2 linked regions of the Neodiprion lecontei genome follow. The protein of the gene in region 1 interacts with the protein of each later gene in a pairwise test. Links are inferred from orthologs where the notes say so. Each region holds a gene or a part of one and is shown in the gene's direction. Other genes may lie near its edges. The genes, in order: vacuolar protein sorting-associated protein 51 homolog and exocyst complex component 7.

The links.
Region 2: the proteins of vacuolar protein sorting-associated protein 51 homolog (region 1) and exocyst complex component 7 interact in a two-hybrid assay, tested with the Drosophila melanogaster proteins (2 studies listed by BioGRID). The link is inferred for Neodiprion lecontei from reciprocal best matches to the Drosophila melanogaster genes Vps51 and Exo70.

What each region holds. Positions count from the first base shown.
Region 1 is NC_060262.1:409,277-427,098, reverse strand, and holds vacuolar protein sorting-associated protein 51 homolog, read left to right. Parts: upstream 1-4,082; 5' UTR 4,083-4,211; coding exon 4,212-4,292; intron 4,293-4,433; coding exon 4,434-4,568; intron 4,569-4,627; coding exon 4,628-4,849; intron 4,850-4,941; coding exon 4,942-5,537; intron 5,538-5,618; coding exon 5,619-5,832; intron 5,833-5,921; coding exon 5,922-6,146; intron 6,147-6,246; coding exon 6,247-6,581; exon of another isoform or gene 6,582-6,595; intron 6,596-6,687; coding exon 6,688-6,865; intron 6,866-7,362; coding exon 7,363-7,475; intron 7,476-7,701; coding exon 7,702-7,810; 3' UTR 7,811-8,029; downstream 8,030-17,822. Other genes in the region: uncharacterized protein LOC107220091, read right to left, coding at 1,693-3,624. UniProt on the Drosophila melanogaster protein: May act as a component of the GARP complex that is involved in retrograde transport from early and late endosomes to the trans-Golgi network (TGN).
Region 2 is NC_060262.1:16,397,768-16,414,133, forward strand, and holds the start of exocyst complex component 7, read left to right. Parts: upstream 1-8,847; 5' UTR 8,848-9,015; coding exon 9,016-9,232; intron 9,233-14,737; coding exon 14,738-15,279; intron 15,280-16,366. Other genes in the region: UPF0047 protein YjbQ, read right to left, coding at 604-740, 1,099-1,258. UniProt on the Drosophila melanogaster protein: Required for exocytosis. Thought to function in intracellular vesicle targeting and docking before SNARE complex formation.

The sequences.
Region 1 (17,822 bases):
AATGGTTTTGTGCCTTGGTGAATAAAATTCTCACTCAAGTACTTGACAACTCACTCAGCATCTGCTTCGTAGCAAGGATCTCTGTTTTTATCAAATACATGAACTGCTCCTGCATAGTTATTCCTATATTCCTCGAAAAGATACATACTTACATGGAACTGATAATGGAAATAATAAAACTACAAGAAGGAGTAGATTGAAGTTTTGGCTGAAAAGTTTCATGGAAGAGATATTGATCTTACAGAAAGCAGGGTAACCAATCAATATATAGGCATGTAGTTTCTTCCTTATTCATTACACACACAATTCTAGTCTTCGAATAATACTTTCAAAAGTAAATGTTCAAATTGTGCGGTAATTTATACACATCAAAATATTATTGTAAAAATATTTCTGATTTATTGCCAGGATGGGTACATTATAAACTTTTCTGACTCATTTATCGTACTTGCAAAAATCAAAAATGAGAAACTAAATCTTTGGACTAAGAATAATTTTCAAGCTGAATAGTGGTAGCCTTAGATTGCTTTTGGTAAAATTTTGGCAGGATGTCTAGCGGCAGGGAAATAAAAGACTTCCTGAAAATGCCAGACTTTTCACTTACCCATTAGTTTTTCCGGGAATGAAAGTATCTCTTTAACTGCTTGTACAAATAGATTATATAATGTAGATATACGAGTTGAACTTGTATGATACACTACTGACACATATTATCCTCCCGATATTGTCAAGGGGCAAGCAAGTAATTATATTAAATGAAGGCAATGTTTTGAAATTGTTTTCTAGAAAATTTTTCATTTTCCCTGAGCACCAGGAATCCTATTTGATTGTAACATTCAGCCCGTTGTGTATTTTATAAATCGTGAGCTATAATTAAAGTGACGTATAGAACAATATTTATTACTATACTTTTTACAAATTACATAGTATACCCATTTTTGCTCCAAAACTGGTATAGATATCTTTATACATTTACTCCGGGTATTTTTCATATGTCTAAAGATCTTTGAAAAGCGTGTCCAAAAGTACCGAAGTAGTAAGATAAAAAAAATGTGTCAACTGACACGATCGAATGATCGAGGCTATGAATAAGATAGAAATATTTACATTTGGATGTAGCGAATTTACCTGTAATCCGAATAGTCCTTCGAAGAGCTCGTATAATCAGTAAGCATATATTATAAAAAAAAGAAAGGAAATATATCCTTTATCTAAATAATATTCAGAGGATGCAGAGAAGTTGAAGGATAAAACGTCAAACCTAAAAATCACGCGGTTCAAATTCTTCACTTTCCTTTTCTACTTACAAAAATACTTTAAGCTACCAATCAGCTTTGCACAAATATTAACATGATCTATCAATATTACAAAAGTAAAGTTGATTTAGTTTTTGATATTAAACGACAGTGTAACAAACCGTTTGCCACCGGTTCGTATTTTTTTTTTTGCGTATTTCGCAATTGCATAATTCCATCAACATTAAACTTACTAAAACTAATTATTTACAATCGAGCAATAATTGAAATTTTGTATTTAATTAGTATCGCATCGTTCATTATACAAACGGTTTGATATTATCAGACAATTATACAACTTACAACTAGATAATTTATAACTCAAGAAAGTTTTTGCTAGCAAAATTTTATCACTTTCTGTAGCACAAGTGTCCGTTTTTCAACAATCAGATAAATCTTATAGATTATCAATGACCATATTAACGATAGATAATTTCAACTGAGCCCTAGCCTTTTTTGGTAGCCTTTGCATTTTAGGTGCAAATTTGCGGAGGAAAAATCCAATCTCGCTCTTTATAGGAAGAATAGTTTTCCTAGCGAGCGAAGATAACTTTCTACGTTGCCTGACTCTTGGTTTCTGAACGTACCCAGTGTCTGTAGTCTCCTCAACCTCATAGTAGTAATCATCCTTAAGGTCGGTTTGTTCGAATTTAAACGTCTGTTCTTCGGTGGTTTCTGCACTGGGTGAAAGGACAATTTCCTCCTGTACTCCGAGTTCTTCATAGTCGACCGTTTCCTCGCGCTCCGGTGAGAAGGTCAATAAATCCGCCAGGGTATGCTCAACCGATTCATCCGCTTCCTTACCAGACTGATTTTGATCATTCTTAACGCTCAACGGAGTGCACTGAACTAATTGGATATTGTTCAGTGTAGTAATGGTTGACGATTTCTGTTTCTTGCTATTCCCCTTGCGAACCCCCTTGCGACGCCCAGATGGGCTTGGCTTTTTGTTTTGATCCGGTAGGTTTATCTTGATCAATAAGCCGGGAGGCATGCTCGACAAGCTATGAACGGGAATGGGAGTACCCAGATTAGTTATGTCGCCTGTAAATGGAAGAATCATTTTTTTGCATTCGTTTACAGATGTTGCTATGTTGTTAGCTATCGTAATCGGTTGCATAGTTCCGGCCTGAATGAGTTTCCAATTATTGTTCGGCGGCAGCGGTAGTTTTCTAATCATCCTGTTTTCTATATTATTAGGATCTGGTCTGGGGATGTTTATCTGAGTGGGCCTCTTCGATTTACCACGTTTCTTGGCAAGCGGAGCAGGTTTGTTGTCTATTTTAGGCTTCTTGCTGGATACCATGGGCCTGATTTTAGACTGCTTCTTGGTGCCCTTGGCAGAGCCAGCACATTCTTCCTCTTCCGCTTCTTCAAAGTCATCTTCAACATTAACAGCTGTATTTGGTTCATGGATATCTCGGATCGTCGGCACCGCATCGCAAGGTCCGACTCGATGGAAGCTCTGCCCACTCTGAAAGTGCTTTGAGCATAAGACTAGCTTCCTGATTTGGTTTGGAGACATTTTGAGTAAATCCTCTCTACCCAGGAATTGGCACCACCTCAAACATCGCCCGATCTCATAAGCTGGAAACGGGTGAAACTTATACCTATCGATTTTATTTCTCGGATCAGACCTTGATCTTCCACAGGCGGCGCAAGCCTGACTCTCCAACACGGCTTGTGGAAGGGCTTCCAGCTTCCGAGTCCTGTCCGGATGATGGAAAAGCTTTGACTCGGGAGCGAGGTCTATCAGGAACGGCTCAGAGTCCTCGGCTTCGTCGGGATATCTGATGTTGGGAACGGCATGGTCGACCAACCGATTACGGTATCCCTTGAGGAACTGGGAGCGGTCAAAGTGCTTGGAGCAAATGTAGCAGAACAATATCTCCTTGCGGGTGAGCCTGTAATAAGAATCAACCCCAACAAAATCCAGCCATTTTAGACACCTGAATTCCTCGCCGGGAAAGTGGTGGAAAGTGACCCCGTCATAAGTAGAACTGGGGGGGTCTCGACGGGATCTACCGCACAGAACACAGGTGATATTGTAGAGGGACTGTTTCGGGTCGTATATCGATGGTATGGCGGTGCAGTTGAGACGGTCGAAATACGAGTTGAGGAAGTCTCTCTGTTCGAAGTGTTTCGAGCATACCATTCGTTGGAGCAGCTGTTTTTTCGTCAGCTTGTAGAGGTCCTCGCGACAGCAGAATTCCAACCACTTTTTGCACCTGGTCTCGTCGTTTACCGGGAAACCGAAGAACATGTACTCCTCCTGCCTGTTGTTCGGATTCATCCGCGATCTGCCGCAAACTACACACGGGTGCGGCATCGTAGGGGAAATTTTAAACTTCCAACGTCCGTTTACTTCACTCCCGGAGGATCAGCTCGCGCACTGTATCATTCGAAACTCACTCGGATTGACTGAAACGCTATGAAACTGTCATTATTAATACTGAATCGTACCACTTTTCGACAGCGTAATCGCATCGAGGAGGTTATAAAGTCGTCATAATAATAAAGCGTCGTACGACGCCCAGCGAGAAATTAGCGAACTCGATATAATCACGCAACATCGAGTGGCTTTATACACATGGAGATAACATTCGAGTACGCGCATGCGCGACTTGATAAGGGCTATTCTGATACACTCTGTCACTCTCGCTCTGCGCCGTGATTGGCCGAGAGCGCTGCTTCAGCCAATCACGACTAGGTGCAAAAGAGAACCGCTGTTATCTTTGGCTAGTCACGCATGCGCAAATGGAACAGAGGCTCGGATTTGAGTCCGACGAATCGAGACATCGGAGCAACGGAAACGTGTAATGGAAACGCGGGGACGCAGCTGTCACAACACGAAATATCTGTGGAGATTTTGACACTTCGGTGTATCAAAGTGAATGTTCTTTCACGTTTAGAAAAATGACAGAAAATACGAGCAATCCGTACAACATAAACGGGCAGCATTTCAACCCCGACATGTATCTGGAAAAAATGCTCAAGGTTAGGCGGCTCTAACTTATTCTCATAACCTAAAATTCAATCAAAATCGTAGTGAAAAATATCGGTTTTATTAGCCACGATTATTCTACCTACTTCGAGGTTTCGCAATCTAAAAAATTTTGTCTTTTATACCAAATGCAGGAGTGCACACTGAAACAGATCATGGACAATGAAGCTGAAATAATTCGCGATACCCAGACGCTTCATTCTGACATGCAGACTTTGGTATATGAAAATTACAACAAATTCATTTCTGCTACCGATACCATAAGAAAGGTGAGTGTTTTCAAAACATGTGAGAACTGGCAAAATTCTTATCGACATATTGATTTCAGATGAAGAATGATTTCAAGAAAATGGAGGATAGCATGGAATCGCTGTCCAGCAACATGGACAGTATCACGTCATTTTCGGAACAGATATCTTCAACTTTGCAAGGCACAAGGCAACAGATAACGAGACTATCGTCCGTGCACACTCTTCTCAAGAAGCTACAATTTCTATTTAAGCTGCCAGCTAAATTGAAAGATAAGATGAACAATGGAAACTACTCCCAGGTGAGTAAGGAAGAAAAGGAGGAATAAGGAAAACGGATACACGATTTACTCTTTGTGCAGTGAAATTCAACCAAGTTTGTATAATTTTTCAGGCTGTCCAAGACTACATTCATGCTCAACGTGTCCTGAACCAGTATGGAAACATGCCTTCTTTTCAAGGTATACAGAAGGACTGTGAAGAAATAGTCGAGGAGCTCAAAGTTAAACTGAGAACTCAGTTCCAGAGCAGAGATGCGACCACAAAGTCTCTGGCTGAGAGTGTCGATCTTTTGCTCCAGCTCAAAGAGCCACCCGAATCATTGTGCGCGGAATTCTTAAGTAATGCCGAAAATAGGCTGACCGAACAGTTGAAACAACTCAAGGACATGTGCGAAAATGACGTTATAGAATTCGTGGATATGGGAAGTTCGGGTTTTATGAGCGACCTTTGCCTCATTGTCGCTTCCTATAAAGACATGTTTGTCAACAGAATACCCCTGGACGACACAGAGTTCAGTGACGACTTTGACTCTAAAGCCATTGCGAAATTAGACACTTTTGTTCTGAATAACATGAAGAACTACTTTGATCTCATTGGTAAAAGAATTGAGGATGTTGGGGATACTGCAATCTTAGTTCGCGCGCTAGACAGGTTTTACAGACGCTTACACGCAGTCAATACTCTCTGCAATGAGACCGATTTTTCCACGTATGTTAAAAAATTTATTAGATTTTCTATAGACATTGATTAAAAATCGATTTCCGATTTATATTGACGCCTGATGTGTAGGACTGCAACAGAAATTGTCATAAATGCTGGAAGAAAGCAGTGCAGAAGCCATTTACACTCTTTGAAGCAGCATCTGACTGAGGCTTTGGCTAAAGTAAGGCAAACGCTGGCTGCTAAAGTTAGTCAAGATGGTGACACAGGTCTTGCAGAGTTACAGGCCTCTCTGGTCATGCCTACGATAGAAAAAGTGAAAGGAGTCCTGCAGGATTTATTGGTATGTATGTTTTGTTCACAATAAAACGTATTTGTACTCTTTCGCCTATTCGACCAAAATTTTCATGACCGAATTAATGTTACTTGCAGGTATTCCTGCAGCCTGAATTAATGTTCAGTGGAAAATCTCATTTCCTCCAATGCTTTTGCGTTGACGAAGTTAGAGAGGGATTAGTGATTGGATTTTTACATCATCTAACTGCCACAGCTAGCGGATTCTGTTCCGGATCTGACGTGCCTAAATTTCCCCCCACATTACTATTATTGCTGAGCAAAATGTGCATCGAATTTAAAGAATCTAGCGTACATTATCTGGCAAGTTTTGGAACCAAATATTTCGAATAAGTAAAGAATACTGATTGTAAAAAAAAGATAATAAGTTCAGGATCTATTATAATGTATTTTTCAATTACAGTTAACCACAACAGACGATCTCTTCAACATTCAAAGGCATGCATCTTTGGCAAATTTTGTAACGTCAGAAAGTGAAATCTGTAACAACTTTCAAACAGCAGCTCAAAATTTACTAAATCATTACGTGCGACTTCAGGGATTATCTGTTTCACAAATGTTGAGAAAGTCAGTGGAGACACGAGATTGGCTACATACCATTGAACCCAGAACTGTCAGGGCTGTGATGAAGAGAGTAGTCGAGGACGTGACGGCAATCGAGCTGCAAGTTTCCGCCTTGTATGATGATTCAGACGGCCAAATTGATAGGAGCAGCGATAGTAGCAGAAGGACGCATAGGTACGGTACTGAGTCTAGAAAAGTAAACACAAGAGGTTAGAGAATTCATAATAAAATTAGTAGGTGCAATTGTTACGAAATCATTAACTATTAATGCTTATTTCAGCGTCAGTGTATCAAGGCATCAATATCGATCAAATTGGTCCTCCTACACGCCAAGTCATCTAGATTCATCTCTGGTGACAAATATTCACAAATTGTTTTCAGAACGTATAGAGATATTCTCTTCGGTTCAGTTCAACAAAGCTTCGATTCTGACTGGAATTATAAAGATCAGCTTAAAGGTATCTAAGCATTCTCAGTAAGACACTGAGTCTTTTCAACCACGATAAACCACTTTTCAATCCCTCTCAATCTCTATCCAATCTGTCCCGCTAATTGAGAGAAAAAATTTTCCTAAAAATAATCACAGCTCCAATCTTACATTGTGACGTAATGCGTGAAGATATACCGGAGTATGATATAACTTCTAGTAGATATGGTACATACATTAATGGTTGCAGCTTGTGCAGAATGAGCACAATGACAAAATAACTTAGCTATTATCCACTTTGCGTTGTCGAGGTATTACGGTAGCTTCTCTGTGCATATAAAAAAAAAAAAAAAAAACTATGCAATCCATGGTGTAATAAGCATTACTCTAATAACAAGACCGCAGTGATCAAATTCATGTATTCTACGCTTTGAGGAGTGCATCTCTCTATTGTACCTCTCCACATTTTCGTCGGTCTGATTGTCAGAAAAACCAAATATTTTATTGATCGTTTCGTATTGATTTCAGACATTTTTGGAATGCGTCAGATTGCGCACGTTCAGCAAGTACGGCCTACAACAAATACAAGTAGATACCCACTATCTCCAGCTTTACTTGTGGCGGTTCGTTTCCGACGAAAAGTGAGTTCAAATATTTATTATTTGATAACCGCAATAAGTCTGGCTAAAGTACAACAGTTTTCTGATTTCCAATTTGTGTGGAATTAAAAGAGGAAAAAAGTAAATACCGATGTAAGGAGCACGTTGAAAGCCCGGAATTCTTAATCCAACTATAAATTTGTTCAATCATCTCCACCCGGTTTTTCATCAGATAATTCTCTGACGAAATTTTATTCTTTTTTCACAGCCTTGTACATTTTCTTCTTGATGAAATATTAGGAAGCGCGGTTCACAGATGTTTGGAGCCTGTGTTAATGGAGCCCAGTGTCGTAGACATTATTTGCGAACGGGGTTGAAGGACTTCCTAATTCCGATAACAATATACCTACGTGTAGTTATACTGTTATTTATATGTAGCGCATACAAAGTGAGAAGTTATACAATTATTAATTTATACAGAGCAATTATAACATTACATATGCAAATAACTACAGTGTATACATTATCGTGGACACTGATTACGCTAATGTTTGTAAAGTCGGTGAAATTATATTACAGATATGTACATATAATAAAAAAAATCATTTGAAATACAAAAAATATGCCTCTTCTTGTAATACAAGTACTGAGGTTATTTGGCGCTTGATATTATTGGAAGAAAGAAAAAAAAAAAAGGTGCCGAATAGAAAGGAGAAGGGCGGGGGGCACGAGTTCGAAATAACGACGGAGGTATGCGGCAAGAAGAAGTTAAGACCGATTAAGATCATTTAACCCCTGGACAGCAACTCTTTGGTAATGGGTTTACATTATAGCCGCGGGTTTGTAAGAGGCAGCAAGAGGAAAAAGAGCGCTGCTCGACCGCATCCAGTGACACCATGACATCTGAATTACATTTGTTCACGTTTGACACCACCATACAAGTACGTACGTTATGCACGCGTGTAGGTGGGTGGCCAGGAATTGCTGAATGGGTACTTATACTCGCTGAATGCTCCCGATCTCCCTCGGTCATCCATTTCGTGCATACGTACACATATATACCCATACACGTAGGCGTATGTTATAGTTGCAGGCGGTAGATATAAAGAAAGCAACTCTCTTAATCCCTTGATAAACTGACATTGGACCATTTTCGGTGTATGTGTAACTTATAGGCAACCATCGATATCAGACGATAAAAAAACTCGACGCAAGTTCGTCAGTTCTGATTTTGCCATATCGTTTAAATAGGTACGATGCAAATAAGTACAAAAAGAAATTCGTTATCAATGAATATTTATACACCTACATTATATATACTCTCTTCGAGTAGCACATAAATTTTCTACCCCCAGACGTATGATCGCAATCACGATGCGGACGGTAAGTTGCATACGATGATCGTGTTTGTATGTACGTACTCGAACACGTATTGAACATACGCCGTTGTGTTCATATAAATTCAGGTTGGGTAGGTAGACGTTAAATTGGTCAAAATGCGGTGTGTGGGTCTGCGCCGGATACCCGGGGAATGAATCTCATCCACGGGGAGGAAGTCCAAATTAACGCCACTCAGCTCGTCGCACTGCAACGCACACATGCGACCTAACACGCGTATACGTATACGCATTGAAACACGCCCGACTTGCATACAGGGTGTAAAGAAAAAGTCGGCTTTTCTCGCGTACGTCGATCGCCTTCTCGTGCCTGTAACGTATAACTGCATAGAAGGGTGATGAGCTAGCCAACAATAATTGGTCACGCGAAGAAATTACGACGATCCAATATCCTGAAATCCTGCATAAGATGGCGAAAAAATGCGCGAGAAGTTGGTGAAAAATTTCAGGCATAAACGGGAGTGTCGGAGATGTACGCGATATTTCATCATTGGGTATTACGTCGCATAGCGCATCATTGAGAGCACACGAACGGCACACGTGACCTCAAAAAACACCTGTGCATCTGGGTCTCGTGTGTACATTAGGGAGAATGAATTCCCCGATGGCAAGCAAACGTCCACTCGACCTTAGACTACTGCCACGTTAAAAAGACAATCCAAGTGTATTTGAGAAGAAGTCGCAGAAATTGTTATCTGATTTCAATATCATAATTACTGTACAACATCCGCATTCTATTCGACACTTTATACTGATTTGTTCTCTTCGACAGAGTTACGATACGCAGGTGAGTCTTGCCGCTGAGTTCTGTTACAATAAACCAGGTTTGTGAAATATTTTTATACACTTTATGGGTTGTTGTTTTTTTTTTCTCTCTCTCTTTTGTTCTTGGTAACCATCATTTGCGAAAGCTCGTACGGATCTAACCGAGTTAAATTGTTTGACATTGGAAATGTTTGATATGGAAATACGTCGAAGAATGTTAAATCCCCTTTTGCCGTAGGGGTTCGTCATGCACCAAGGATATAATATCTGTACGAATTTGATAACGTGGCGAATATGGTGAGAAGAATTTCTACAGCAAATAAACGCCCACTAACAACCGTGTGTCGTATGCATGATACAATCAGCGGGCCTACACGTTATATATTATTAACCATGTCTGTTCGTGTGTTATTATACAAGCAATATATGTATATATAGTTATACATATACCTGTATATATATGTATATATGTATATATATGTATATATATATATATACATGTACCTACTCGCAGGTATAGTATAGATATGTCTAGATCCGTGAGAATCAAAGATTTGTTCAACAAATCTGAATGGAAATAACTATTTGTTACGCGCAAAGTTGGTATAAATTTGAAGTGAAAAATAGATAAACGGGTAAGAGCGGTGAGGATGATCTGCAGCGGAAACCGCTATTCATCGTCACGATTCGAAAAGCGATGTATCCAAACGAATAGAAACAACAGAGAGGGTATAATATCGTAACTCGACAACGCCGCTTTTAAAAAGGATATTCATATTAACGATCGTCGTCATCCGAAGCGTTAGTGGCGTCGTTGGAACGGCCCCGTGCTGCCAGAGGGTCGTAAGTACACGGGTAAGTTTAAATCAGCTTACAGTCAACCCGCATGGGAAGAGAAGAAAGTCACGGGGGTTACACCGTTGCGCCGGAGTTGTTGGGCGACCCTGTCGTGCGGCGGTAAAAAAGCCCTCGGCGCTACTTCCAGGCCATTTCCATCATGCAACAGTGTAAGTGGCACTGCACCGACCGACGCCTCGCGATGAAAAGGAAGCATAGGGGCGCGTATCGTCGGTATACGTGACGAAGGAATCTGCATTACGGGAGGATTAATCACCCGACCCACGACTCGTGTGTTAAACATTTCGTTCCCAGTTTCATATCCTATGTTCAGGGGTCCTTGCTTGAACCAAGAAGCCGACAATGGCCCTTCCAGCGAACACAGAGTATCCGTTGTTTGCCAATTTATTTGTCCCTGGATACAGCCTGCATGATTCATCGTTGTCGCATTCAGCCCGCGGTATCTTCTGTACACACTGATCGTATTATTTTTCTCGATAATTAACGTGTGCCGTTGGAAAAATTTAACTAAACACAATGTCCCAGCAGGTCTAGTTCTGCAAGCGAATATTATGAGATTAATTTTTGTAATATTAATACTTGAATCATCGAGTAAATATTTAATTTGCAAATTGTACTTTTAAAATGGTTAATTTAACCCGAAAATTTAAGTCGACCTGCTGCGACATTCTTTTTCTAAACGTTAATACGTACGAACTATTACAAGATCTACAATTGTTGTATTCGTCGTACGTGGTGAAATTGATTTTATAGAACACGAGCATACGACTCGTATTGCAAACTTACGCTCGGCCCTAAAATACCGAGTTTGTCTCCTTGTTACACAATATACTATTATACATGGGATTCCCTATGTCCAGCATAATCGAATGGAAGAAAATCATGTAATTGGAGGCGTTTCGCTTTGTGACCGCAATAATGGGCAGTTTTGAATCCGTGCTCGTTGTTGTGTTCGCAGCTCGGACCGTCTTAACCACTATATCGACGCTAGAGATACGAATTCCAAACACATACCACACCGCGTTTTATACATCAGATTTCGGAGAATAGGTACCTACCGAAACCATCGTCGTTCATTTAGCGCATTGTAATAAACAGTTGCCAGTACCGCGTTAGGTGGCGAACTATGCAACCCCCGCGGTCAGAGGGTCAACGGTCAGTGGTCAGTGGTCAGTTTCGATGACTAACGTCTGCTGGACTGACATAGAAAATACACAGCAGACGCGGGGCAAACGTAGTTGGGTGATTAGTTTTCCTTAAGCATATATACGCACGTACGCTGTGCAAGCGGGCGTAATCTACTTATGCTTGCAATACTCCAAATGCTCCAAACTTTTCCAAACTTTACACAGAGTGTACGTATGTATCTGTGCCGTTCACACTGGATGCATGCTATATAAATTCGGACGTATTTCCATCGAGCCCGCTCACAAGTAGTCAAGGAGGGACCGAGGCTTAAACTCCTGCGGAAGATCGGAACCTTCAAATATTCGTCAACTCCTCCGAGTGCATCCGCGTGCTAAGTAGTAGTGCCGTAGGTGACTTGAGCTTGAATTTCACCTGGGTACGATTACTTTCCACGCTGTTGCGCCCGAACTGCAACGGATTTGGAATACAGCGTATAATAATACAAGTACAGTAGGTATAATGTGGTTTTTATAATCGAGGGGGAAAAAGTGGAAGAAAAGTGCGAAGAGCATTTTTTTTTTTTTTTAACACCCGTATATAGTGAAAATCTACGGATAACGATGGTTAGATGTTATAGTGCGATCCTCGGTTCGTACTTTATCCGCATTTAGAAGAGTTCGACTCATAGCCGAGATATTCGATTGGTCCAGGGATCTTCAACTGCGAGAAAGTTCTTCGTTCTTTAAAGCTAGTTCAGCACGCCTCATAAATCTTAGTTAATGTTCAAGCATATTATGCCTTCTCTCGATTTTACGATATAAAAAAATATTCTCAAGTCTTTTTCCGCGGTATTATAATCGAAAGATTTTTAGCTTGATCGGTGTTACATGTAGGTACATAAACTTTGAATGAATCGCGTCACGCGATTTGAAAGATTGTGGCAAGTGACGTTACTTTGGTCCAATTCCTTCTCAAGTATAAACATGCAATAAGCAGGTAACTTGTCTTCCAATATTCTTTCTCTCCGTCTCACCGAGAAAAAAAAAAAGGAAAGAAAAGAACGAAAAGAAATTTCTCCGACTATTGTTACAAGTACGAAGGATTGGAAAAATGTGCCGCAGCTCAACCGACCACCCCGTTACATGTTCTTCGTTATACGAACACGTACAAGCATACGAGGTACAAGTTATAGCCACAATACAAGTGAGGTTCATTCAGCACGGGTCACCGACATGCAGTGATTTCAATTGATAAATTGATTTGGTGAGAGAGGAAGGAGGAAGGAGAGACGAAGAGGAGTGCGATTCGCGAAGTATAAAAGAAATTTGTAAAATGAGGGGGAATGAAAAAAAATTTAGCGAAAACTGCGAGGGTTGGGACGAGGAAGGGGGGGATGGGTTAAGAACTAAGAGGCGACGAAGCACGAGGAGAAGAACAGGGAAAAGAAGAAGAACAAACTTGGTGATTATTAGGGAGTTGTACGTCGGCTGAATGCCTAATGCACGGTCGTCCTAGGATTAAATTGACCAATCATTTCCCGCACGGTAAGGGAGCGACCAATTACTCTGACCGCCGTACTATATTAAGCCAATCAAGGCTCGTTTATCACTCAGTCGAGCATCTTCTCTCGCGTTACGCGCATCTCTCTCCCCCCTCCTTTTACCCTCGCATACACAGACACGCGTACACCTACGGTTCATTACTCATACAGAAAACACCCACCCGGACAGAGGCAGCTTGCGAGGAACGCGATTCGCCGCAGTCTTTAGTAAGCCGAGAACGCGCGAGAAAGTCCGGGATTCTCGATGAAATATATACCTACCTACGTGACGTTAAATTTTTCGTAATCATATTGTTCCTAGGACGGTGGAACGAGTTTTTGAAAGTAGAGAAAATATTGGGGAAAAAATTCGCGTACAACATAACTACGGATTTTACGCGGCGTTGTATTGCTCGATGTTCGAGAATCGGTTCCGCAACGTGGTTTCGACCAATCGCCCTACAGGTAGAAATGATAATTGGCCGATCGACCAGCCGTCGATTCATTCAAAATCAACCGCTCCCTCCCTCCCTCCCGCCCCCCCGCCCTCCACGTCACCCGTGAGCCCGGCAGGATCAAAAGTTCACGTTCAGATTTCAGTATAACTTTAATTGCCGCAGTGAGTATAGTGTATAACAGTGTCGTGGATCGAGGTAAGACAACCAATCGTTTATTAGTTTCAATTCAAACGTTACGCACTACATAAGCTCTACAATTTGAACAACTGTATAATAATCGGATCCAACAAGTGTTTCCTTCGTTATCATCAATGAAAATTTTATCATCGGCGATATTCGTCGCTGGGTAAAGTTGTGCCCATATTTTACTACATTTTCTTTTTTCATCCAAACGCGTTTGAATATTGGACTTCGATTAACGCCATGACAAATTATCGAGTTATTATTTTTTTTTTTTTTTGTACATACGTATATCTTTACCTGTAAGACGGTATATTTTGTGTACGGAATGATCAGCGTGTCCGTATAATTAATTATCATCATAAACCTATAAATCGTTTTAGCATTATGTAGAATACTGTACATGTTACGTAATTTAAAATCCACACAGCGTACGTGCGAAGCACAATTCCGATCGCATGTTATACATATTGGAAGGTGAAAGAAAAGAAAAGGAAAGCAAAGAAATAATATCACTGTAAATCATTGCATGACGTTGCGGATGGAAGGTGCACGGTAAGATATACATAACCAGCTTTGTTTCAGCGCATACACATATATTTATACGTATATGTATACAACGACGAAGACGACGACGATGTCGAAGGCGACGATGTTACACATATGCATACTAAACTGTAGCCAATTTAATTTAACGCGACTGAAACGTCATGTGGAGAATTATTTATTTCCAGATAAGGCGTGTTTTCATTTTTCTTTAGAGACAATAATATTCATTTTACCCCACCTTTAATACTGCTGGACAATTCTGATTTATTGTGCATTTATTACACTTTTTCAATATACTAACCAGATAAACAGTTGAAAATCTATTTCGTTTATTGTATACTGTACAGAGAAAAAGAGAGAGAGAGAGGGAGATGAGAAGAAGGCAGGGAAAATATACTGAAAAATAATTGTCATGCCTCAGCTCTGAAAATAGCGGTTTTCTCTTGGCGGAGAGGAGTTCCGAAGAAGGAGAGGAGCTTCCTTATCTTGTACTGACTTCTTAACCTCTCGCCTGTGATAATATGGAAATAACGCCACCAACAGAGAAGCAGCGAACCGTGATTATAATATACCGTCAGCTTCTTCTCTTCGTTGCCGTACTTCGACAATTTCGCCGATACGTCCACGCGTATAATAATAATAATAATAATAATGATAACAACAAGAATAATAATACCACAGGGATAATGTAAATTTATGACATACGTGCATTGTGCGCTATTATGCGTATTACATAGGCATGCCGACGCATTGCACGGGGTGGACAAAAGAGACTAGCCAGCTAGCTGCTACCTATAAGACGTATTGAAATAGGCGCGTTGCCCCTTTTCTCTTCTTTCAAATTTAACCCTTTGAGTCACACATTATTGTGTGGAGTCAACGTTTATAACAAGATGGTATTCCACGGTATTTCGGCTCGCTGATTACGAATCTGAAATCATATTTTGACAATTCGAGGCAGTGGATGCATTACGGTGGAAGGAAATTTCAAATTTGATCGAATACAGTCAAAAAACTCTATGCAGGAAGTTTCGGGTTCGAAATCCGATTTCAGATTCGTAATCAGCGAGCCCCAAAACTTAAAACTTATGTAAAACATGTGTATGCGTAGAGGGTCAACTTTCTCGAAAATGAATTATTCCTTCAATTTCCACGATTTTTTTAAATCAATTTGATTCAAACAATAATAATTTACATTATATCGCAATAATTATTCTCGAGTATTGAAAACCTGGTACACTATCAGAAATAGGAAAAACCGCTGAGAAATATGCTGAAAAGTTCTCTAAATATGAAAAAAAAAACAAAAAAAAAACAGTAAAAATGCATATAAAATAGGTGGTAAGGATACTTACCACTATGACTCAAAGGGTTGAACCTACACAGAGGAATCGTCGCATCGGGTGGCTACATGATTCAAACGATTGCAGAGTCAACGTTCCGTAACGTAATGAGGCGATCTAAACGATGCAGCATTGTGCTATTTGTAACGATAATAGGCAGTACGTACCTTATATGCAGCCAAAGCGGATTAGTATCACATATCGCGGGAAAATCCACGTATATTCCGACGCGAGTTAACGTTCCGTATACGTATAATAAGACTAATAAGACCCGTACTTTGTACCGGGAGAGAGAAAGAGAGAGAGAGAGAGAGAGAGAGAGAGTAACGCTCGACGTTGTTTATCATCGGTTTATAGCATATTACAAGAGAAGAAGACGAGAAGACTGCAGCAGACGTCGAGACTGTAATAAGTTGGCATATGGCGCGTGTGCAGAGGGAACGGGAATTAACGTTAATTCCCATTAATATACGCGCGGTAGCTTTTGCCATTAGCACTTTGCAGAGCCGTTTCTCTTACGCTTTCGTTCCCGGTGCCGTTCCCGATGCGCGGTCTCAACGTTTAAGGGTGAAAAGTGAAACGTGTCGCGACGCATGAGGGCCGATTTAACCGGACGACCCGAGAAGAGGAACAACTTTTTCGACAAGCAGAGCCTCGCTCGAGTTTCGGCTTGCGTTATACCCTAATTGACCGTTTAAATTCACGCTTCTTAGAAAAGTCTGCGACGACGCCGCGCCCACGCCTGCATACGTGTACACATGATAATAATTTACGAATCGTATGTAACGGAGGGGGGGGTTAACAACTCAACGATTCCATCACCCTTGTATTCCCCGATTCTTAAGTTGAAAATTAATTATTTGACGAATTATTTTCGAGCGTCGTTAAACATAATTATTCCACGAATACTGTTCGATGCTATCGCGCGATGATCAAGTGCGGTGAAACACTAAACAGAACCGTGCGGGGAACCGTAAAAAGTCAAAGATTCAACTGTTGGCGGCTAGGCTCAGACTCGCGTATTAATTAACATCTCCTTTCGGCTGTAAGATCAAAGCATCGGGTCGAGCTCCGGATTACAACGATGTTCGAAAAATCGTATCCCGGATTGCGTGATGAAATACACGTACGTGTGTATAATGCAGCTTGTTTTACGTGTAATTAATACAATGCACCGGAGGGGGAGGTAGAGAAGCGTGCCGAAGTGAAACTCGACGCCGAAGACTAAAGCATGAGCAGACGGTACGTAAGTGTAAGGATAAAATACGGTACGCGTCATCGGTGCATCGCATCTCGGATATCTCCGTCTCCAATTACCTTCCAAGATAGCAAAGCCGGCGTTTTAACGTGACCGCGGTAATGAATATCGATAAAATTCTTGCACAGCCGTGAAAGCTCGACGAGTACAGTATTTGGACATTTTTTGGCCCACGATGGACGCTCGAACACGCAGCTTCATAATACGCATCGTGCAAACACACGTGGGTTAAAAAAACGCCGAGACGGTCGCCGAGTCGGCGGGTCGAGTTCGCTTCTTCCCGGAGTGAGTGATTCATCGTAGCACGGCTCTAAGGGAGTTTCACGTATTGAATGAAACCCTCTGTGAACGCCAAGCCCATACAATCCGCCTGTGCCTGCACGGCCTCCAGCCAGCTTCTTCGTAAGTCACGGGTTAAGGATTGAACGCCTGTATACTCTATACATCTTACTTCCAACTTACGCCGCTTCTACACATACACCGCGAGAACGGGGGATCGTGGTACGTGATGGAATCATGGCTAATTGGGGAGATTTAAATTGTTCCCATCTTTCACTTTTCATTGATAAAAAGATCGGAGCTGGCTGATGAATCGTTCACGTTTCGCGACGCGCAGGGTATACAATTGGGTATAATAGTGGATGATTCGTATTTACGTTTCAAGCTGATCGGCAAATTTTCTTCCAATTCACCGCGTTACAGGCTCTTTCGCGCCTACTTCCGGCACTGCGTTTCTTCATTGGATGTCAAACGCTGCGTGTAAGCATGTAATATCCAGGCGAGGAGGCACGGAGGAACGGTACGAAGAATTACGCGAACGGAGCTGGGCCCAAAGCACAGTGGGCGGCTTTAATGGGCTACCAAGGCCGGTTCAATGATGCTCTCGGTACCGTCCCATCCATTCGCGTTACAC
Region 2 (16,366 bases), about 16 Mb from region 1:
GAGAACTATACATTTTCAGTTATAATCAGTTATAATCAAAGCATCATGAAATGCATGAAATGAAACCAAGATTAATATACTAAATTGTGATGTGTGGTAATGTGATTGAATGCCTAATAACACGGGTTAGCTGAAATAATACTCAATTTCGCAAAAATCATCTATTTTGAATCAAGAACTGCAAAATTACCTTTTCTTCAAATGTGATTGCGATGTGATCAAAAACTCCGCAATAAAAGGAAAATCGTAGTTGTAACAAATAATAAATTAAGGTTGAATCCAAGGATTTACGAAAAAATTCCCATTTCTCATGTAATATCAGTAAAGAACTCTTTAAAGCACTCAGATTAAGGCTAATTGGATACATGATAAGAGAACTTACTTGAAAATTTCACAATTACTATATTGAAAGAACCCCTTTGCAACAGAGAAAAAGAGCTTGGTGCCTAAAGCTAAAATCAACAAGGCTTCCATCAAGCCAAGTTTGAGAGAGACCTGAAAAAGTTTTTTGTAAGACTGTAAGAGTTGACTTGAAAAACGTTTCATGTATGGATAATATGAAACTTAGATATAACCACCTCAGATGAATTAAAAACTACATACCATATCATCTGGACCTTCACAGCTATGTCTGTAAGGCATTCCTTCTGGAACGATTTTGTTGAGCATCATTTCCATGTCATCTCTCACGTCTGGATCCCAACTTTCGTTCAATGCCAAACTGGCGGACGTATGAAGAACTAGAACACAGAATTAAGTAAAATATCATATTGCAATCGAACTGCCAAATATGATAGGCTTAAAAGATAAGCCTTGAACTTGTTGAGCAAAAATTTCTTCATTGATAAACAGTTGTGAAAAATGAGTATACTCTGTCCTAACGAGTAGGTAGGCAACACAAAAGCTGTTATCCTGTTTATTGCATATACTGAGCTTCATGGGCAAAAGGTAGAAAGAACTAAATACCCATAAAGTTTACATCCAAACGAGTGAAGTCCGATGGTATTTACTCTAACTCTGAGGCGAGAATATCAAATTTGCTTGTTCATGCATCTAATTTGAATGCAAAGTTGCCTTTATAAGAGACAAGATACCTACTTTGTATATGGCACAGGCCTACAGAAAATTGACAAAGCTCTGGAATCTGTCGTAATATTTCTTCAGTGACCAAGTGGACTCCTCGATGTTGTGGTCTGAGGTTGATTTTTTTTTGAAACCAGGCAGAGCCAATTTGTATACCCCTGTTCGATGAAGCCATATTCGTAGCACAGCTGATCGCAGCAACTCAAATTTCGTGAAAGCGTACCCCACCACAACACAGTAAATAAAATACTAAATCACGATAGTACATTGGCGGTAATCATCTCCGTTAGTCTGACTAAAACGAACGATTTCATCTCCTTTTCTTCCCTTTTAATGGATAACGGAATCAACGAATACAGGTATTCAACGTTTCGTACTTTCGATGCTGTGGTTACGACGACGAGAATACGAGCCACATTTCGATTTATTTTTCCTTCATCTACAGTATGCACGACTGTGTCTCAACTCGTGAGGTTACGACAGGTTAGAAAAGATAACGATTAACTTGACATGCACCACGGTGAAAGGATTGCATGGTGTGCCTGAAGCACCTGGAATATAGCTATCCCTTTTAAAACTATCCTCTCTCGCGCACCACAATCCTAGGGTGCGTTCCGAAATTACATTGAAGCGCTAAAAACTCCCTAGGACAGAGGCAAATCTACCCACGAACATGGCAGCGCAAAAGAGATAAAAGATTGTTGACAGATTGGAGAGCTAATATCATGTAACATCCGATCGACATGCTCATGTAGCTTAGATTCAAGGAGCCCAAACGCTGTACTGTAGATGTGGACCCTGAAAGCAACAAAAAAGATATATCGGCTGTGGTGGCGCTGCTGTCGTTAGTATAGGACAAGGTCCGTAGATTGGACAGTTCAAGACACGCGTGGGCAAAAAAATTAGTGAGAATGCGCCAAAAGTTTCGTATGACAATGGATGCTTACCATTTATACCCATATTCATAGTCTCTCCTTATCTCAAGGATGAAGGAGGCCTTGATGAAGGCTTCCTTGAATCTCCGAGGCGTCCTTGTTTTATAGTCGCAACTTAGCTCTCCCTTCCAGAAAGAAGACATATTTAGGGATATGTGATTGCTTATGGTGGTAAAATTGCTGATCGAAGCGCCACTCGGCTATATTTAAATCTAACTTAAACCGCTTGGCTCTCATTGTCAAGTTGCATCGGTTGATGAGAGTGTATAACCTCAAAGAGGTAGACTGGCTGTGATCTCTGCGTCATACGGGTCATAAGTGCATAGACGCAAGCATTGGCTACATGAAACGATACAGCCAATCGCAGTGCCGAAGGTTTCCTTAAGGCAACTCGAGACCTGCCTTGAAAGAAGGAGGCCAATAAGGCTCTTTGTTCTGTCGAGGAAAGTCTATGAAACGTGAAATGAGGAACAAGGTGTAACATCCGACCGGAACGTCCGTATGTTTTATCGACTATTATTACTGCATGTCACTTTTATCAACTAACCAAACTCGAAGTACGAAAATCTTATAACCGTAAGGTGTTAAAACAACTGTCTAACTATTTGGAATATCCCTAGATGGAAACAACTATGACATTCACTAACCAAAGCTTCAAAACCATAGGTTTGTTCGTGCTAGATACACTTTCTACACTTTCGTGGGGAGTGTACACTTGCGCGTTCGTTTTAGCGGACGTGACGTCGAATGACGCTGCTCGTTTCACAAATGTCTCTAGACTTTCGTTACCCAGATAACAATCGTGCGTCGCACGTAACCCGCACGCCGTGATAGTCACATAGTGCGAGCGTAATGCGTGACACATGACTCGCACGCCGTGATCTCATCGCGTATAGAGTGATAAACACATGGCATGCACGTAACGTTTGACGTTTCACTTCGAGATGCGCCGCATGGCATGAGCATTTTTAGATAGCATTAAATTTTTCAAGGCATTATAGCATTTTATAATTTCACTGAACATTTATTTCAATTTTTTTTCATGGGAAAAAGTTGCATATTAAACATTATGATTTTATTATAATTTTTCATTTGAAAAAGTTTCCATTAACCGTTGAATTTATTTTTGTAATCTGAAAAATTTTTATTAATCATTGAGTTAATTTATTTGTTCACTGGAAAAAATTCTCATTACAAAATGAAATTTTATGGTCAATGTATTAATTTTTGAAGTTATACTTCTTTAGGCGCGTTATGAAAAACTGATGAGAGTGAAATTTCAGGATGCGCGCGCATCACTGTAACACAAAACTGTAACACAAAATTAACAGGATGAAGTTGCCCACTCAACCGAATTCATTAAATCTCGAAAAAAAGCTAAATATTTATCCACATGGTTTTAGTTTTTACAGTCACAACACGTGTTTTATTTTCATACAAGTGCGAATTATATATGTGGCAATAAAATATATTCAGTAGTGATTTAAATTGAATATTTGGATTAATATTATTTACTATTTGTGAATATTAGTGAAAAAATTGTGCTAAAATACTTTTTCAAGTGCTCCAATATAATTGAGGTTAGTTATCCGTATGTATTATTTATTGATATAAATTAAAATATCATTATTTAATATAATTAATACTAAATATTATTAAATTATCAATGTTGAATATTTATTATTGGTTTTTTAAAATTTACAAAATAAAGAAATAAATTTAATAGAACATTTAATAAAAAGTTCGTGACAAAAATTTAATAGATTATTTAAATATAATGTAAGACATCCGTTATTTGTTTTATTGTTTTTTTTACATACTTCTTTTCTTTATCATTGTGTGACAGAAGATTTTGACATGTTGTGTATTTTTTAATGATGACAAAGAAGTATAACTTCTCACGCGCGTACATAAGTACACGCACCCATTTTTTTTTATTAATCATTTTACAACTCTAATCCATTATGTATGTGACTTGTCGGTTTTAAAATCCGCGGCAGTAGCCTACCTCTATATAATATATAAAGTTATCATATGTGACCACATGCAACCACATATGCCGCCAAGTTGCCGCCATCACTGCATACAACGTGCACGTGTATATTCAGTTTTTTCAATTTTCATTCGTGCTTAAGCAGTGCATATTATATACACTTTGTGTACACTTTTTTTTCAATTTTTCAATTTTCATTCGTGCTTAAGCAGTGCATATTATATACACTTTGTGTACACTTTTTGCACTATGTCTAGACCAAGTGTAAGAAGTGTAAAAAGTGTAAATGGTTCAAGCCGCATGAATGCTACAGGTTTTTCCACTACGTTAGTGAACTGTGATGCGATATATACCTTAAAACTCACGAGTGACAGCAAACCCATAACCTCACTACAAATCAGAACAAAGTAGTACAGTATTTTACTTGAAAAACGACGTTCAATTTGATAACGGTGTACTTAAAACATAAGGTATGAAAGATTTCGTTAACAAATTCCAAAATGCTTTATCTTATATACTAATTTGTTGTATTAATAAGTGTTTCGAGGAAAAAAACGACTGTACGTAACGTGCGCCATTTTCTTGTCCCCACTTTTCTGCACCTTCTACACTATTGCGTTCGCGCTATCTTAGCTACACTCGAGAAGCCGACGTACACTCCCCAGCAATCCCTAGTACACTACCCTAGTTCGTTTTACACTCACGAGTGCAGAGTGTAGCTAGCCGAACAAACCTCATATTACGAGACCTTCGCACTACAAAGAGCTATAATATTATTATACGTTATTATATACCACTATCATATTAACACCATAATTAACTAACACCATTATATCCAATTATTATATAACACTCGACAATGCCATTTGTGCATTCTGAGCTGAGAGCTACACTAGGGGTTTTCCAACTATCGCACTCTGTGTCGTTCTGTGTCGTTCCGTGTAAATTGTATACTGGGCTGTTGTTGGAACGCTGTAGTGTTCAAATTGAACGGGAGAGTGCGTGCATGTTCCAAGAACGGAGTGGGAAAATAACTAGGCATTTGACAGATATGTATCCTCCGAGTTTGAGTACTAAAACGCATGTTATAAATTGTACATAATATTGATAAAAGTAACAAACGTTCGTTCAAATTATTTTTTTAAATTAAAGAGTGTGATCATTGTACGGTACGACCGGCTTTATTACTTTCTACATTTATGCAATCATGCAGACTAATGCTGACAACGTTAAAATTCTCTTTTTTCCAGTTTCTTTTTGGTTACAGAACTACAGCGTTGGCAACGCTGATATTCATTGCACGGTTAAACACAACTTTTTTGAGACTCGGATAAGAGCGACTCCGTGAGACATCGTGTAGTAGTTGGAACACCCGACGGCGTACACTGTGTCGCACTGTGTCGCTCTGTGTCGTAGTTGGAAAACCACTACTATAAGCAACTTACGCTATACCATATAGCCTGGAGTATAAAAGACTGTAAAACCATAGATACGTTTTTAACCGAAATAATGTAAAGATAGGTGTACTGCTGCAATAATCCATAAAACCAGAAACTGCAAAACCATCAAAATCGTGAATACCAATTATCCAGCATGAATCATACTTTCCTCCGTGACGCCGTATAGTAGGCAACACGCGCAGCGTTTTGAAGGCAATGCAGATCTCCAATACGGAGCCATACATAGCTCCATCTAGAGAACACATTCGGAAACTTAACGACGAAACGATTGAAGGTAAATCAACTCGCAATAAACTCAAAGATGCATACGTGGCAACGCCCAGTAATAGGCAACCAACAAACATAAGAACAAGTTCTAGTAGCTTCGAAGCCGATTTATATTGTTACAAAGGGTGAAATCACCCGTTTTGCCCCCTTTTAATGATCTAGTAGTCATCATAGATAAAAGACGTTTATCAACCTCTTATGTCTTTCAAAAGAATAAGGTTGCTGCGTCAACCAACATTATTGTAAAAATAGTCTCGTTTCAGACTTAAAACCAGAAACACGTACCCTGCAATTGAAGCTTTTTCACAACAATTATTTACGCCTTTGATTTTCATTTGATAATCAAATCACGAATCCATATTTATTTTCATAACGTCCAGGAACGTTACAATATCAATATGAGAATTAGTAATTACAGAAGAGAATTATATGCGAAAGCACACATGTAAACCTGCTCTAAAACTACGAATTATCAAATTTTCAAATACCCTAAAACTGTTAAGATAGTTATAACACAAACACCCAAGAGTATTCGCAGCAGCGTGATCCTAATAATGTTAAGCAAATAGCAACTATGTCTCATAAACAATCGCTTTTTTACTCCAGGTGAATAACGACAGTGATCAATTAAAATACATATGCAATTTTACATATTTACACGCTATAAAACTAACAAAACGACAAGTAACCGATATGGCAATCTTAATATATAGACTTTGTAACGAACAGGATAGTGAGAATATCTAAGAAGTAAACTACGACTAGAATCCAGTGGATCGTGACCCCGAAAATGCACACGGCACTAACGTACACCACGAAACATGGGTCACCTCTAGCGCATACGCACTGCGATTACCATATTATGAAATAGCTGCTAAAATCGGCCCGGGTCCTACCGCCCACAGGGGAGATGAAGCACGGTAGCCGAGAAGCCAAGGGGGGCTTGCTGCCCCAACACCAAAGCCCACGCAGAATGGAAAATTAAAGCGTAACGACCCTACACTTACACCACCGCACCAACGCAGCGTTATACCATATGTAAAAGCTTGCAATATAGTAAGAGCTAAAGAACTAAGATCACAGGCATACATGCGGGGAAGATATCGTGCCCTAATTCTAATTCCTAGAAAAAGGGGGAAGGTGCGCAAAAGTTGACAAAAGCTAAAGAAGGGGATCGTTCTGCGCAACGATCGACACCTATAAAAACGGCGACCGATCATCTGATCGTCCTCTTGGTTTCTACCACCAGATTCGTCATCTTGTTCCGGTACAGTCTCGCGGTAAAATCCTTTTGCCTTTTGCATTTAAACTTTTCCTACAACGTTACTCTGCCCGAACATCCAGCGAGCTTTCAGCTCCATTTTGTCGTATTAATTTAAGATCTTACACTAAGTAACCCCGTTGTTTGTGACTCGAAATATTAAACTTATAAAATAAATCCAAGTTAATCAAAGTATCTAAATATATTAAAATCAGTCATTCCGTTAAATCCTCTCACCAATCTACGCTGCAAGTCATCATATCCAGATTATTCTCGAAAGGTAAGCGAATTAATTAAATCTTTCATCCAACAATTAGTCCTTTCTCAGTTCGTTCAATTAGAGCGACAGAATGCCCGTTGTCTGGTGTATTTCAATACTTTATCGGTAATTGGTGACCCGAACTACTGATGTAAGTCTAGCTGTAGCGGTGGGAACGATTCCAGTGTCTCACATCTGGATATTTCCACCAGGTACCGTTCCGACGTCACAGAGAAGTCGATAGCGGAATAGAAAGAGAAAGTTGCATATACGACCACTCTGTCTTCGCATAGTCGCGCATGCGCGGACCCCGTCATACTGCGAGGTCAACTTCTACGAGGTCAAAGCCAAAGAATACGCATGCAGAACAATAAGCTAACGAATTTTAAAGGACAATAATTTTTTTAAATATTTGCAAATTATTTATAAGTATTTGATAATCAAAGTCAAATGAGCCAAAAAGGATATTCGTGCAAGATATGCTTATAAATTTCTTGTAAAATAATATTTCTATATATTACGAAAATATAATATTTTTTTCACGTATTGTTCCAAGTATAATAATATTCAATGTTTTATTACAGTATATGACTATACAGTACGTACTTGTGTGCATTATTCATGCTTGTTACCTAATAAAAATGATGATCAGCATTTTACGATTCAATATTCAATTATTTAATTGTAATGTTTTATTAGTATTATTCCTATTTTCAAATTATAACTTCTCATTTATGTTTCATGTACAATATATAAGAACATCCATCCCTCCAGTCATTTTCTATTTCATTCTTACTTAAAGAACGCTGAGCGCGCATGCGCGATTAGACAAGGATAGAGGGGTCCCACATGCAGCTTTCTCTTTCTACTGCGCTCTCGCATTCACAAACGGGCCACCTCCGTTACTCCCGCGGTCTATTTATATGCCTATGTACCATATCCATAATGATATTCGACACCGCATTGTCTGGGAACACGCGGTGAGCGGTAGTACCATCAGTCCTTGTTGCCTCTACATGGGTGCTTTCCATTTACTGACTCAAGTCGACTTGTGTCGCTAATTTTGGTGTATTCCTTTGTCCAGATTGGCCGGTTACACCAGAAATAGCGACACAACTCGATTTGAGTCAGTAAATGGAAAGCACCCCATACCGACCACTTGCCGGATTGAGTTGCGCGTGCAAGAAAGGATGCAGAGAGCGCCGCTTGATAAAGAATTTACTCGTCAATTTTCGATTACGCAAAGTCCCATATGGCTATCAATCTTTATAGGAATATCTTCAGTCAACGCAGCGGAGTTCAACATTCCAAAATCGTAAGTGGTCATGATTATTCATATCCTTTTAGGGATTAATCCCAGTTATTTGAAATAAGTGATTAACCTGAGATACTTAGTGCAGTTTAATGTTTAATCGGTATTTGGCGAACCAAAACCACCAACTATACGTCTACCTATATTTTCGATAACGAACTCCACTGGCTAACTTCTGAAATTTGCGGGAACTACCGCTCTGACGTCATGTCGAACAGTGTCAAGTGTTGGCAAATCCCACTGAAATAGAGATATACCCCTACTTCAGTGGCAAACTGGTGGCAACTGGCACGTCCTCTCCGGAAGAATAATCAAACGGAAAAATAAGGAGTGTCAAGTGTACGCGACGAACACTTTGGGTTCCAAATTTTTTATTGTCCACCAGCGTCCACGGAAGATTGTCAATTGGGTTTGTGACAACTAGTTATTCTTTACATTTCAAATCATGCTCGACACGTCGGAACACAGGTTTGAAATCGAATGCAAATTAGAAGCCGAGGCTACTGGCTTGGCTGCATTGAAGGCGGAGATTGATCACAGTAAACGTGTTACTGGCGGTATTGTTGGAATTTTGTCATCCTTGGAGCAGCGCCTTGCTACGCTCCAACGTACCATTTTACCAGTCTATACGGAGACTGGAAATCTTCAACATCAACAGCATGGTAAATCTTACAAAACAATTTTACGCGCAAAGAGTAATATATTAGCTTAGGGATTCTTTTTACTGTAAGTGCTCGGCGGTGAGTTCTTTGATTCAACAAAATCCCAACTACAATGTACCTGAAGTTCAGATCAATCACCCTCGCTCGAAAAATGAAATAATTGCAAATATCACGTTTCCGATGATAATTTCTTAGGATTAGATAGAAATTTGTTATTACCTGCTTGACAGAACGAAACTGTAAACTTACTGTTAATTATTGGATTTAGCATTTGTTCGTCATAAAGTTCACGTCGAGCAAGTTTGATTGATTGATACTGCTTAAACTACAAAGCTTCTAACTCTTTCTTCTATATTCCGTTTCACTGCATTTTTCCGTCTTTTAATCTGTCTTGTACCAGCAGTTACGATTGATCAAACTTGATCGAAGTGTTTATAGGTCACAATCATATATCAATGATACTCCTAGCCATAATTTTAACACATCATACTTTCAAATAGTTATCCAGGTAACATTTACGGTTTAAAAACATTCATCATCGAATCCCAGAAAGTGGCAACACTGGTTTTCAATCGAACTTAATTGATTGGAATTCCAGGCACATAATCAATTCGAATCATTTTTCAATTAATTCAAATGGAGGCTTAGTATAATATGTCCAACCTTAAGGATTAACGAAACCATGATACATGAAGTAAATGATCAGTGAAGTGAAAAATAATGTTTGAAAGTATCCAGCAATGTCATTGGTGTGATTGACGATGAATACGACCAATAACACAACGAAGCTAAGAATCAACTTTGCTGATAGTGAAGATGATTCTGAACAAATTCGAATAATACAAGCTAAGATATTAAACCAAGAAAAAGTTTGACAATTAATACATTCAAAATGCTTGAACCATCGTAGGTTCGATCTGATTCCAATGTTATTGGGCCATTTTGCTTGCTCATCTGATCCTGAGAAATTTCTAAAAATTTTAAAATAACCACGTTACAGTAAAGCTGTAATGCACAAGTCTTATGTGCACAAATATCTGTTATAACATTTGTACACAAATATATTTTTGTAGGAACGAATCCAATGGTATAACATATAAGATAGTTGGATTCTAAAAGCAAGTAATAAGAGTTGATAAATATGCCAATTTTTTTTTCTTCATACACACATTCCGACGCTTTATTATGTAAGAAGTATAAATACTATACTAATTGCTCATAAAAATAAAGCTTTAAGGTACTTTTCAATCAAGAAATAATTTCTTTTATGTATTTTTGACATCACATTTGGACTGTGCGACAAAAACTATATGAAAATGTCATGGTCGCTCTTTCAAATCTGAAATTTTTTATTTTTGATTCTGGGGCTGTGTTACCAAGTATAAAGAAATTTGACAACTTGGTTCCCCCATATCTCTGGCAGCATTCGTACACGTAGGCTAGAAGTTTTTCCTGAGTATTAGGGTATGCTAAAGTATCATTCGACTCTTGTTTTAAAAAAATCCAAGCAGACCCCAAAGTAGGCAACTTTGGAGAGGCTCTTGGGCAGGCTTTACCGCCCCTCTAACACTATTACGTCATCTACCTGAAGAGTTGAGTGTACCCTTACCTTACGCCATCTCCACAGGTTTCCATGTTGAACAAAAGAAGCCCTAAACCATTAGAGGCACTTCGTACTCATCGTAAAACCTTTCCTTACGATGTTGATTTCTTGTATTATTCGAATTTGTCCTGATGCCATTGTATTCCATAGTAGAGATGTGGTCCCATTTGTGTGCACCATTATTGACGCAAATAGTGCTACTGTAGATTTTTTTTCCTAACTTTTGATTCATCTTTATGCTTTCATTCTTTCATTTACTTTTCCACAAAAAAGATTATTTTAGGAATCTTCGATTTCTTGTTTATTATCAAAAACTTTATAAACAAGAAAGTTTCTTAATGTTTGAGCGAAAAAGTGTAATAATAATGCTTTTAGAAATATAAATAATTTCTTACAAAATTCTCTTGTACCAATTTCGTTCACATGTTAAAATAATTTTAGCGTTGTCAAAATCCAAAATATGGCCTTTAGTAAACTGTGATGAGCTAGAGCGCATTTATCGGGATCACGTGATTCGATATTAGACTTGTGACCTGAGATTTCATTTTTTAGGTGTTGTGACGATTGCCCAATACATCTTTAAAAGCAATTATTGCAATCTATTTTGTATATGGTGTTGATTTGATCCACAATCAAAGTTTCTGATTTTAATTTAGAGAAAAGGCTCTTTGAGTCATTAGAGATTTTGTATGCGATGTTAATACCTTCTTGTGCAAAGAGTTTAAAAATTTTGTGTGTCAAATCTGGTACATAAGGAATGGACGTCATATTTTTGATGTTCATTGTAATTGGCTTCTTTTTCAGTGCTATTATAAAATTTATGTTTTCAAATCTTTTTTTGGTTTTAATTGAGGATAGAGTATAACCATTAGTTTGAACGAGGAGAGACCGCCAACTGTAACCCATTGATTTGCACGCGAATTCGCAGAATGAAAGAGTAAAATATAAATGGAGATGTGTTTTGGCTTATCCGTAAACTCTCGATCATTTCTGAGAAACTAACGGTTGAAGTTTTGATGCTGCTTCATGAGTTCGCTTGCACGTGCTGTCAACTGGAATAGTGTCTCAGTGGTTAGCATTACGGCTTTAAGTTTTTCCGCCTCGTGTTTGAGTCCTGACCAATTTTTTTTTTTTCATATCTTCGCCAAAGAATGTTTGACGAATGTTTCTTGTTTTATTGATAAATAAAAGGGCGCTATATTGGAATTCCAATTCATCATTCAAAAGCAATTGTCCGTTATTCCGAAATATACTGCAAGGTATTAGGTTGTAAAAATAATTGGAAATCACAAATGTATAATAGCCAGTAGCTTAATTATTGTGTTTATCGTTACAATATTACACCTCAAAAGCATCCGGTGCATTCCTCAGGGTGATACTGTCATAAAAACATTCAGAACATAAAAATTCTATACACCACGAGCAACGCTCGATGGCACTTTTACCTCAGTCAAATTTCTCAGTGTAAATGTTGTCTGGAAACGCAGTGTCATTGACGCTGCTAAAAATTTCGTGATCCGGTGTTAATTGTGCGGCAAACCATCCATACCGAATCATTTTCTTATATGGTGGCGCCTGCAATTGATTACGAATCAAAGCGTGTATTCTTATCGTGTCATATCTAGTTGTGATATCCCTTTGCTGTGCAGTAAGAAAAGAGCAGTTCTGCAGTCGAAGGATATAATTTTTAACTTTTCGGTAGCAGTATACGTTACAAGGTTGACATAGTGGAGTACACTTTAGAGGAATTACTTTCAACGACCATTTCGGAATAACAGACAATTGCTTCGGAATAATGAATTGTAATTTAAATATAGCACTCTCGTATTTATGAATAAAATAAGGAACATTTGTGAAGCATACTTAGAAGAAGAAATGAAATAAAAGAATTGGCCGGGACGTGAACACGAGGCGCAAAAACTCGAAGCCGTAATGCTAGCAAATTGCGCTACCGATCTGCTTGAGCACGATGCTATGCGGACGAACAGACTCATGAAGCAGCGTCAAATCTTTAATTGTTTCTTGGAAAAGGTCGAATGTTTACGAATAAGCTAAGATACGTGTTCGTTTACTTTTATTACTCTTTTATCCTGCAAAGTCTAGTACAAATTTGTGGTGTTACGGTTGGCCGCTTCTCCACATAAGTGTGCCATCTACTATTTTGAAATTCTTTATTCTAAAGAGAGGATCCGAAATTTAAATACACGGATCGTATGAACCTATAGCTACAGACGTTTTGTATAACATTGAATATCGAGAATTAAAATTTAGATATCACCGACAGCAAGTATTTTTTCTGTACTAATCTAGATTAACAATATTGCTTACGCTAATGACCATAGTGTTGAGGAAGCTGATTCTTCGATTTCACAAGTGAATTGTGTTCAAGAGTGGAAATTGTTGAATTTGTCTAGCAGGAATTATATCTACTCTCTATGTATACAAGTAATAATGTCATCCACGCATCTGTAATAAAAAGGAAGACTAAAAGGTAGTTGATCGATCACTTTTTGTTCAAGATATTCTAAAACAATATTGATGAGACTGGGGCAGATAAGCGAATCCATCGCTGAACCTAATATTTGACAGTAATGTTTGTCATTGTATATAAAATTGCTTGACTCTAAGAGATTGTACAAACTAAAAGAATTTTCAATTTTGTGGATATGGATCCAATCAACCGATGTCTAATTTTTCCTTTAATAAAATAAATGAATAATATCTTCTCGGTCTCGTCTCACGTGCGTTGTTGATTGCTGGCACTTTCCCTTAAATTCCGGGGACTCTCGGGTGGTGAGTTGGCGGAGAATTAAAATTTTGGGTCGTCAGGTGGTCGAATCGATTGGGATATGCCGAAGGTATACAGTCCACGTTCCCCTCCCTTCCTCCTTCTCAGGTTGTTATGGATGATCACCCAACTGGTCTATTTAACGTCCCCAGAGAGAAAGAGAGCGAGATCCCGTTGTCACCGAAGATCTTCCCCCTTTCACTGGCCGGGCGAGTACCGTGACCGTATCGGCAATTAACGCCACTGGGCGCCGCGTCACCTGTCTCCTCTCATATGACATTTTAGTGGTCTAATAAGGCCGCGAATATTCAAATTCCGTATCGCCACTTACAACTCCACCATAATTGCATGGTATGATGACATAAATTTTTTCTTAGATAGTAGCACTAATGACTACTAAAACCTCCCAGTTACAGACTTTTTTGAACGCTATTACTTTTATAGTAAAATATATGCTGAGAACGTGTCTGAAACACGTGTATTTTAAACGAAAAAATCCACCCTGTTGTTTGCACGGGTTAGAGTTGAGATAAAAATCTGAAAAAAGTACGCAATTGTTTTTTAATTATTTCAAATTGATTTGGGGGGTATGCTTAAAAAAATTCGTCAAGATCCTAAATATGGGACAAGTTACTATAAAACTGTCCATGAAGAGAAAAGATCGTCTCTGAATAAGAAATTGCCCTTTGATCTACATATAGGCAATATGTATAGGTTGTCGATACACTATATTTCCTCTAGTATATACCACGTCAACTAGTGGCTATTTAAATCAATGGCAGATAATAAAAATGATGAATCCACTGTCCGAGGTGCCTAGATTCATGATGTGTTATTTGTGTGCAACTACTATAACAAGGATTTTTAGGAAAAATTGCTACTCACAACAATGTAGCTGCCTTAAATTAGGCAAACTTCAACAAAGCTAAATATACCCATACTTTTCAGACTCAACTTCTCTAAAGTTATTGCGGTACATCAAATTAGCTCTTAAGTTAAATAAGCAATTAAAAATCCGAAACAAGCATCAGTTTTATAATCATAGAATAAAATGTAGCCGCAAGATAAAAGTAGGATTTTGAGTAATCATTCTCACTCATACATTCTATTTCAGACATAGAAAAAACTTTATCAATACTGGACCATGCTATTGGTTATTATGGGGTTTGCCAAGAGGTTGAATTGGCAATACGCAGTGGACCTGCCAGTTCCAGTGGTTTGGATGCCTTCCTTGATGCCATGAACCGGTTACATAATGCACAGCGATATTTCCAAAAAAATAATCCCAGTTCTGTTGAATTGGAGAACGTTTCGACGATGTTTACACTTGGTTCGGAATCCCTATATGCCGAGTTCAAAGATATTCTAGCACGGCAGAGCAAACCAGTGCTGCCCATCGCTTTACTCGATTTAATAACATCAGATGAAGATGCTAGTAGTGGTGAAGAAGCATACCAATCATTGTGCCAGTTACCAGAAGAGGTCCTTGACGATTTAATCAAAATAGCAAACTGGCTTGAAGAAAGAGGTTACAGAAAACACGGACAAATTTATGCATCTGTTAGATCGGCAATTGTTTTGAGGTCGCTTCAACTTCTCAAGGAACATCAAAGGAGCGCCAGCGGTGGGAGTATTCATGCCACTAGTCCCATGCCTGTAAGATCAGTCACCTACCACTTACACCGAGAGGTTCCCTTGCAAGGACCTGCTGGACAATTGCAACTTGTTTAGTTTTCATCGACATTGTAAAAATTTTACTAGCATGGTAGGCAGAACGATTACTGCTTAGTGGATCATGCTGGCGCTATGACTGGGTCATTCTTAATAAGTGAGAGGTTATGGTTGTAGTTTTACAGTAAGCAAGTTCAATCGCATGTGCAATGAGCAGGTTCTTCCAAGAAAACCTCTGGGTATGTGTAGGTAAAACTCCTTCAATTTTTCACTCCTGATTAAATATTTTTACTAATTTATTTATCTACGGGAATTCTATTTGCAATAAAACAGCATACATGAGAATCTCCATTTAACATTTCTCATGACTATGTAGAGCAACACAATACACACGACAATCTCCATTTCATACTTCACATTATTATAACTATATAGAAGCAAACTCTGAATGGTAATAAGAACATATTATGCTAATTAAAAATAGTAAAATCAGCCAAAATCCAGCAGTTTGTGCTTGCAAATAGTTTTAAAGGATGAAATGGTGCAGCCGAATAGTTCAAGCCATTCATAGTTTCTGTTTGACAACACACTAAGTTTCTCCATCACTGACCTACAGCTAAAGTCCCCAGGGTAAGTCGCAGCCCAGAACTGGTCGTAATTCCCACTGAAAAGTCTACGTGAAATGTAGAAGTTGAAGCTACCAATCAGTTCAACACAATCAAGATTTCAAAAAAACAAAATAGCATCGGTGTAACATGAGTAGGATTCAAGCATACAGATATTGACTGCCCTAGTTATCTCCTCATAATGATGGTTAATAAGGATCGTAGGTCTCCCCAGTCTATAGGCTAGGTGCCTCAACAACTTACGGTGTACCTGCTCAAACAGAACATTATACTTGCCGAAATACAGTGTCCAGATATTCAACGCATAGGTGAACGTAAGACAAACTAGGGTTAGTTCACTTGAAATCCTTTGATTTCATTGCAACGAAGTAAAGCTTCTGTAGACCCTTATCCCTAACATTTTGCACGTCGGTGCCAAAATTAAGGCAACCATCACAACGTACCTC